Mus musculus: one gene and its partner. The protein of the gene in region 1 interacts with the protein of each later gene in a pairwise test. Links are inferred from orthologs where the notes say so. Each region holds a gene or a part of one and is shown on either strand. Other genes may lie near its edges.

Evidence for each region.
Region 2: the proteins of Wwp2 (region 1) and Pdlim7 interact in binary tests that used the Homo sapiens proteins (3 or more experiments, as listed by UniProt). The link is inferred for Mus musculus from reciprocal best matches to the Homo sapiens genes WWP2 and PDLIM7.

Annotation. Positions count from the first base shown.
Region 1 is NC_000074.6:107,456,828-107,460,629, forward strand, and holds part of Wwp2 (NEDD4-like E3 ubiquitin-protein ligase WWP2), read left to right. Parts: intron 1-615; coding exon 616-763; intron 764-1,052; coding exon 1,053-1,174; intron 1,175-3,802. UniProt on the Homo sapiens protein: E3 ubiquitin-protein ligase which accepts ubiquitin from an E2 ubiquitin-conjugating enzyme in the form of a thioester and then directly transfers the ubiquitin to targeted substrates.
Region 2 is NC_000079.6:55,510,515-55,514,941, reverse strand, and holds the start of Pdlim7 (PDZ and LIM domain protein 7), read left to right. Parts: upstream 1-1,495; 5' UTR 1,496-1,575; intron 1,576-2,523; 5' UTR 2,524-2,534; coding exon 2,535-2,630; intron 2,631-4,427. UniProt on the Homo sapiens protein: May function as a scaffold on which the coordinated assembly of proteins can occur. May play a role as an adapter that, via its PDZ domain, localizes LIM-binding proteins to actin filaments of both skeletal muscle and nonmuscle tissues.

The DNA of each region.
Region 1 (3,802 bases):
CCCCGAGGGTGTCCAGAACCCCGAAGACGACGCTCCCAAACCTTAAAGGAGGCTCAGCTGCTCTGAGGAGCCCCGCTTGTGCTGACTGTCCCAGAGCAAAGGACTATAAGCCGTCATCTCAGCAGTGTAAAAAGTTAGCAGAGCCGTGCAGCGGACTTTGTGACAGTCATTTAAAAGTTGATTTGGGGGACTGGGGAACAGGCCAGTGAGCAAAGCACTTTGCTATCTCATGTGCTTTTGGGTTGGGAGCGATCTTTCTCCCTTCATAGTTCAGACTCTTGTACACACATGCTTTTTTTGCTTCTTTGTTTAGTTTATACCCCTTTTTATTTCTTGTTCAAAAACATTCATTTTGTACGTATGTGTTTGTGTGCACATGATATTTTGGTCAGTGGTCAACCTTGGGTGTCATTCCTCAGGCACGAGCTATCACCATGTCAGTTTTCAAAAGTTTTAATTTTTTTTTTTAAAAGAGGACAAACCAAACCAAACCAAACCAAAAAAAAAAAAAAAAAAAAAAAATCTTTTCAAAGGGAAATAACCAAAAGGAGCACCTGCCCCAAGGGGCGCATGGGACCCTTTAACTCATCTGCCTATCCTTTCTGTGCCATCCAGTGGTGTCAGCAAAGCCCAAGGTGCACAACCGCCAGCCCAGAATCAACTCCTACGTGGAGGTGGCAGTGGATGGACTCCCCAGCGAGACCAAGAAGACGGGGAAGCGCATCGGGAGCTCTGAACTGCTCTGGAATGAAATCATCGTTCTGTAAGGCTGTCACTGGTGGAATGCAGGAGGTGGGGAGGGGGGGCTGGGGTGCAGACTCTGCTGCCCTTGGCCCCCATGGTGCTCCTCTTTAGGTGTCTGTATGTCATTGAGCTCACAGACACTCATTATTAGCTAGGGGTTACAGGTCAGCGTGTGAGGTGTGTATGTGACTGTCTTCCTGTTTTGTCCCCTGTAAGATATCAGCAGGGTAGCTTTCAGCAGCCTGTTCATGTTAGAGGGGTAGCTGCTCCCCGGCGAGGCTGTGATGAGTCACTTACTTGTTTTCCAGGAATGTCACAGCCCAGAGTCATTTGGATCTGAAGGTCTGGAGCTGTCATACCTTGAGGAATGAACTACTGGGCACTGCCTCTGTCAACCTCTCCAATGTCCTGAAGAACAATGGCGGCAAAAGTATGTATGATTCACCTCTAGTCAGGGAGGGTATGCAACCAGTCCTGGGCTTGGCCACAGTGCCTCTGCCCCTTAGAGACCATCTGTGGAGTTTAAGGAAGGCTAACTTCAGCATGCTTGGTCCAGGGCTGTAGGATGCAGGACCGTGTCCCCTAGTTCTTCTTCAGGGAGGGAGGCTATCCTACCCACTCTCTCACTCAGGAGACATACCTCCAGCTGAAATCAGTGCTTTTCTTGTCTGAGCCCCAGAACAGAACAAAGGAGCTGTGTGCATGTGAGTGTGAGTTCTGGGTTTGGGATAGGAATACAGAAGGCGCCCTGTGTCTCCTAGGGATGTGACAGCAGCTCCATCTGAATTATCTCAGGCACCTCTGCTGGCCGGACATATAAATCCTGAGGCCTGTTCCTTGCTGTTTGTGGCCAGTGGCATAGCCCACGCCTGCGGGCTGTAGACCCTTCCTCATAAAGCCTCTATTCAGAGCAGTACCATATGTGGCAGCCAACTGCTGTGGAAAGAAAGGCTCCTTTTTCTCCTACTGTGTAGAAATATTTTTTGAAAATGGACTTAGCCTAAGTGAGACCCGGGGTGGGGAGTGTTGAAGCTTAGGTACAGCTTGAGGCTTTTCCTTCGGAGCCCATCCTTCTTGCTGGGCTGCCTGGGAAGGTTAGCTCCTCCTATGCTCTGGTCCTTTCCGCTGGACATAGAGCAGCATGGTGGAGGATTGTTTAGAACCAGGGACATGCCTCTGTCTTAGTTGTTTTGTCATTTGAGTTGGTGTTTTTGTTTTGTTTTGTTTTGTTTTGTTTTGTTTTGTTTTGTTTTGTTTTTGTTTTTCGAGACAGGGTTTCTCTGTGTAGTCCTGGCTGTCCTGGAACGCACTCTGTAGACCAGGTTGGCCTCGAACTCAGAAATCCACCCGTCTCTGCCTCCCAAGTGCTGGAATTAAAGGTGTGCGCCACCACGCCCGGCTCGAGTTGGTGTTTTTTTATGTATGTGTGAATGTATGTGTGTGCTCATGTGTATGAATACTTGTGGTCACCAGAGGTCAATCACAAGTGTCATTTCTCAGGTGCCATCATCTGTGTTTTTGTTTTGAGACCTAGAGCTCACCAAGGATGTTAGGCTGTGGGCCAGCAGGCCCCCGTGATCCTCCTGTTTCTGCCTCCCCTGCCTAGTCGTTGTAGCTATGTTCGTTTGATTCCCTTATTAACAGTCTGTTTAGGAATTTCCCGTAATATTCTTGTAACACTATGGTTGTGTTCTGGTTTTGTTTGTTTGTTTGTTTTAAAAGCTAAGTGGTTTTTTTTTGTTTTGTTTTGTTTTTTGTTTTTTGTTTTTCGAGACAGGGTTTCTCTGTGTAGCCCTGGCTGTCCTGGAACTCACTTTGTAGACCAGGCTGGCCTCGAACTCAGAAATCCGCCTGCCTCTGCCTCCCGAGTGCTGGGATTAAAGGCGTGCGCCACCACACCCGGCTAAGCTAAAGTATTTTAAAAATTATTTTTATTAATTGTTTTTTAAAACAAGGTTTTGCACTGAGACTCAACTTATTCTGTAACCCGGGCTGGTCTTAGGATTGCAGCAGTCCCTTCGCCCCAGTCCCCCGAGAGCTGGTGTTAGAGGCATGAGCTCCCAGTGTCTGGCTTTGAGGCTAATTTTCTAAAGTGAATGAAGCAGTTTCCAACCCTGGTAACAGATGGCAACATGGGAATTTTCTGTTCCAGAAGTGCAGGAAAGAGCCCAGCCATAAAACCAATAAGGCCTGGCTTCTTCATTTGAATAATTCTTTGATGACTTCTTTAGTCTGCATGTCCCCCTGCAATTATTGGTTTATTCAACTTTCCTGATTCATCTTAAGTCAGTTTTATTAATTCATTTTTTTTCTGAAAAAAATCAATTCATGAAATCTTACTACTTACTAGTATAAGGATTTTAAGCAGCAGTCTTATATTTTTTCAAATGTGTGCCACTGCGTTTCTCATCTCCAATCTTCCCCTCCCCTCCCTTTCCCTTCTTTAGTTTTTCTCGGTGCTGGATCAAACCCAGGGTCTCGTGCATGCTAGGCATTGACTTCAGCTCTTGTCACCATTGCTTGTTGGGGCATGAGCTGTAGCACATTGTGTGTGTGGCTGGGTAGGCAGTGAGCCCATCAGAAGAGACACAGTCAGGAAATGTGGGTCATGACAGGGCAGCGGCCTCCTCTTCTTGGGGAAACAAGTCCTCTTGAGTGACAGCAGCAGGGTATGTTTGCCCGACATTCTGGTCATGTTTCATAAGGTTTTCAACAAGGCTCTTCTGGTATACTTTATATAGAGAAGTGATTACTAGCGTGTAGATCTTGAAGCCAAAATTGAAGCTAACAATTTGAATTCCACTTCCACCAGCTCTGCGGCATTGGACATTAACCCCCACGTGCTTGTTCCTTACCTGGGTTAAATGCTTGCTAACAATGGCGCCCTCACAGGTCAGATCTCAGTAAGCAGTGGTTCTAGTGGCTGTCTTCACTGACACATTCTTCCTAGAGATGAGGAACTTTGGTTTCCAGGGAGGGGAGACCCGTTTCTTCATGTGGAGGCTTCTTGCTTGAATGGAAGACAGTCTTGAGGTTGTCTGAGGAGGATAACTCTGCC
Region 2 (4,427 bases), on another chromosome or scaffold:
TGAGGAAGCTGCTGGGCTTGGTATGATCTCAGCCCTCCGGAGGGAAGAGCTGGAAGATCTGGGAACCCATGCAAGTTCAAGCCAGTCTACCCAAGGAGACCTTATTTTATGCGTATGGGCGTTTTCCCTGCATGCATATGTGCGCTATGTGTGCACCAGATGCCTAGAGAGGTCAGAAGAAGGCGCTGTATCTGGGGGGGTGGGGGTGGGAAGAAGAAGATAGAAATGAAGGAATGGAAAAAGAAAAAACCCCTGATCAACCTGGTGTAGACCAGCATTCCTGTCAGAACAGGATGAAACCTGAAGGCTGCAGCTGACTTAATTGAGGTCATAGAAGACCTGGAGAAAGAGTCAATAGTATAGGGGACGAGGGACAAAGAGGGAAACGTGATGGAGACAGAAGCATAGCAGATAGCTAAAGAGGGTGGTTTTGTTTTTTTGGTTTTTTTTTTTCTTCAGTTTTTCGAGACACGGTTTCTCTGTGTAGCCTTGGCTGTCCTGGAACTCACTACATAGATCAGTCAGTCTGGCCTTGAACTCAGAGACCCACCTGAAGAGGATTTCTTCAAGGATGACAACTCCCATAAGAATTTATGTACTTGGGACAATGATGGGGAAGAGGGGGTGTGATGATGGGGGGGCTGGGCAAGGGGAGGCTGTGCACCTCTCTACTGACTCAAACATTCAGGAGAGCTCAGCTTTTCCTTCTGCCCACCCTTGGCTAAGACCGAGGCTAAAGCAGGGGCTCTGAGAACACTCCGTGGCAGCCCCTTCCATCCCAACCGCATTGGAAGAACTGTGTACTCTGGACTGGGGTTAAATGGGAAACAATCCATTCCAATAGTGGTTCTGGGGGCTCTGGGTGGAAGTCCCATGGCTGTGGACTCTACTTACACCGTCAGACAACAAGTGGCGCTAAGCCCGCCCCCGTTGGCTCTTACTATGTATGTATTTACTTGTTTGTTATATCCTGCAAGCCTTTGGTTGGGTTTGGTGTTGAGGACTGAAACAAGGGCCTCCAGAGAGCTTAGCTACTGAGCTCCACCACTAAGCTACATCCCGAACACCAGGAAGCCTAACTTGAAACTACCCTATCTCGCTTCTCCAGTTCCTAGAGAATCTGAAATCTGATGATGCTGACAATATTGACCTCTAACAGTATCCCTAACAGAAAAGTGTTACCATGCCATTTTCCTCTACAAGAGAATACGGTGAGAGATCAATCAACTCTGGGGTTTCAAACGGATGCTTTCCTCCACTCCGCCAGTGGGAGGCGCAAGGGGCTTGGGCGAGAGCCTGAAGCGGGGCACAGGCTGGGCAGCGACCCGACTGGCGAGGGTAAGTGCCCGATCTCACCTTCCCTCTCCTGGAGACTCAGGGTTTTTTGACTGGGTGGGGCCTCCCACCGACCCCGGGATGTCCACTCGTTTGGCCTGGGGAGGGCGTGGCCTAGGGCTCCGCCCCCTTCCGCGGGCTCAAAAGGCGCGGCGTCCGCGGAGGCGGGGTCAGAGCGCAGCGGCGGATCCCATCGCTGCTCCCGGAGGCTGCCAGGCAGCGGCCCAGGCGGGCACTCAGGTACCGGCGTCCGCGAGGGGGTTCCTGGCCTGCACCCTACGGGGTCCTATGGCCCGCTGAGGCGCTGGGGAGGGCGTGGGTGGTCGTGAAGAGTGCCAGATTCCCTCGGCTGGCTTCGGCCGCAGCCTCCGCCCCCGCCTTCCTGCGGCGAAGTGGGGCTGATTGGCGCCTGCGCCACTGTGTGCGGTGGGGACGCGGCCAAGCGCGGGGCTGGGGCGGGAGACGAAGGGAAACAGAGTCATGTTGGCAAGGGAGCATCGTGCGTGGGTGGCACCACTTTCTCTGGCTTCCAGAAAGGATCCCCTCTCTGGCCGTGCGTAAGGGACACGGCCCCCGTCGCTCTCTACAGGACCAGTACCCCGTTTTTCTTTTCCCCTTTCAGAGACCAGGGGTCCCGCCCTGACCACCAGCAGCCTCGACCTGTCCCAAAATGGCTAGGACCCGCTCCAGCGTCCTCCTTCTCCACCCCTCCCCCTCATATCCCGAGCCCCTAACGTGCTCCCTCCTCGGGCTCTCTACAGTGTCAGCTTACACGCCTTATATAGTCCGAGCAGGCTCCGGCGGCGGCCTGCCTGCCGGGACCCGGGGAAGGAGGGGGAGCTGGCCCCTGACTCACCCCGCCACCCTCCTGAGATTCCAGGTTAGCTTGGGCAAAGCAGTGCCAATTAGCCCCACAGCCAACCCCTGGAAGAGAAAAGCACCTGAGCTCGGAGAGGCCTCTCCAGGCCCTCCCGGTGGCAGGGGGCAGGGTGGGGAACCACCTTGTCTGTTGTCTGTGAGAGGTCGGCCTGCCAGGAGCCCAGCCAAGCCAGCTGAGATACCTGCCTCCCAGTGCCTGTGTGTGTTGAGCGTCCGCCCGTGCCTTCTTGGTGCCTGGCCAACGCTAGTGCCCAGATCTGGACCTGCCTGCCAATTTGCATTGCAGACACTTTCTCTTCTTCCTCACAGGAGCAGGCACGATGGATTCCTTCAAGGTGGTGCTGGAAGGGCCAGCCCCTTGGGGCTTCCGTCTGCAAGGGGGCAAGGACTTCAATGTGCCCCTCTCTATCTCTCGGGTGAGCCTAGGTGGGGGAACAAACTCCCCAAGGGTTCTTGGGTGCTCAGGTTTCCAGAGGATCATGGGAGGAAACAGCAGGAGCAAGCCAGGACCAATAAGGCAGGAGTATCCAGGTCCAAATGGACACTTAACTACCAGGACTCCCAACTAGGTGGAGAGTAGAGAGGCACTCCCAACTTCCCTACTTTGACATGGTATTTGATGCTCTCCCACCAAGCCATCTGTGAGTGACAAGGGGGAGCCTGTTCCTTCGGTATTGGAGGCTGATGTCTCCAAGAAGTATCTTACTTAGCTAGGAGAGCAGCCTGTGGAGCCAGGTCCCCAGCAGGATGTAACTTTAATTCCAGTTATTCAAGGAATAGCAGTTGTCATCCTGTTTCCCCAAGTGACAGAGCTTGGTGGGCTGGAGGAGCCCATTCAGTAAGTCCACTGCAGAGCAAGGGTTTGAACTGAGGCACAAAAACGGCTTGTACTCTCTGTACGGTCAAGGCCAACGGGGAACTCTTCCCGCCCTGTGTGAGGACTGAGTCCCAGTCAGCTGGCTCTAGTCAGGCTGTGTGGCCTTTGACCCCAAGCCTAGGTGTAGTGAGGCTGGCCTGTAGAATTCCTGTTCCCATTCCTCAGTCCACCCTGGTGAGGAGGGTGGAGCTGGGAACTGACTCCTCCCTGAGGCAGGGGGATTACCTTATAAGCCCAAGAATGCGGGCCCCAGTTGGGATGGCCAGCAGTGGCTAGTCAACAGAGCCCAAGAGGGCTGGCCTAAGTCTAGGCCCCTTACCTGGCCCTCAGTCATTGGTGTCAGTAGGACTCAAAGCAAACTTTGTGCCCAGCCTTCCAGCTTGGTATCTCTGACTGGCCTAGGGGGTCAAAAAGGGGGCAGGGACTTCCTTCCCTGATATCCGCCTGCCTAGAGAGGCCCACCCAGCCACTGTGTAGGCAGGCAGCTGCTGGCAGGAAGCCCAGGGCAAGCCCAGCCCAAAGGGGCCTGAGAATTTCCAGGCACTGCCCAGCCTGAGTAGGGTATCAAGGCTGGTTCTCTCTGTGGGAGCCAGACATGGTGGACAGGGCAGGCAGGCATGCATGCTGTGTTCTTCCCAGAATCCTTCTCTGGAATTGCTTTGGAATCTGCTCCAACCAGCAGGATGACTAAGGGCTATCTAGACCCTTCCCCCACGCGTACATCCTACGGGTTTCTTCCTCCCCTCTGGGAAAGTGCTGGCCAGTGTAGTGTAGGTCTTAAGTTTTCTTCATTGGTAAGGAAGGCCCTGCAGATGTTGCCTTTTGGGGGCACTCTGCTGGCCCCTGCTGGCCCCTGGCCTCCTTTGTCAGCAGCTTTAACCTGTGGGTGGGGCCACCCGCTGAGTCCTGCCCTGGAGTGAGTTAGGCCCTGATGGGTGGGGTGGTCTTTTCTAAATTGGGCCAGCCCGCTATCCCTCCCCTGACCCCAGAGTGGAGGGAGGAAGGAGGGGCTAGGGCTGGCTGTGGGCCCAGGCCTGGAAGATGAGGTAATGTCTGGGATTTGGGGGTTGGGCTGCTCAGTGGAGCTCCCAGGCTGACTCACCCACACCCATAACACTGTCCAGTCCCCTGGCTTTTCCCCTCCTTAATCTCACTAGCCTCTCTTTCCCTGTGGTGCTCTGACCACCAGCTTAGCCCTCACATTTTGAGTACCCCACGAGAGAAGTGGTCCCTCATGTCTCCACCCCTTTTCAGGGAGCCAGTGGCTCCTCCTCCCAGGACCCCCCACCTTGGTCTTGCCCCACACCTCTCAGGAAGCAGCCTGTATAGGAAGGAG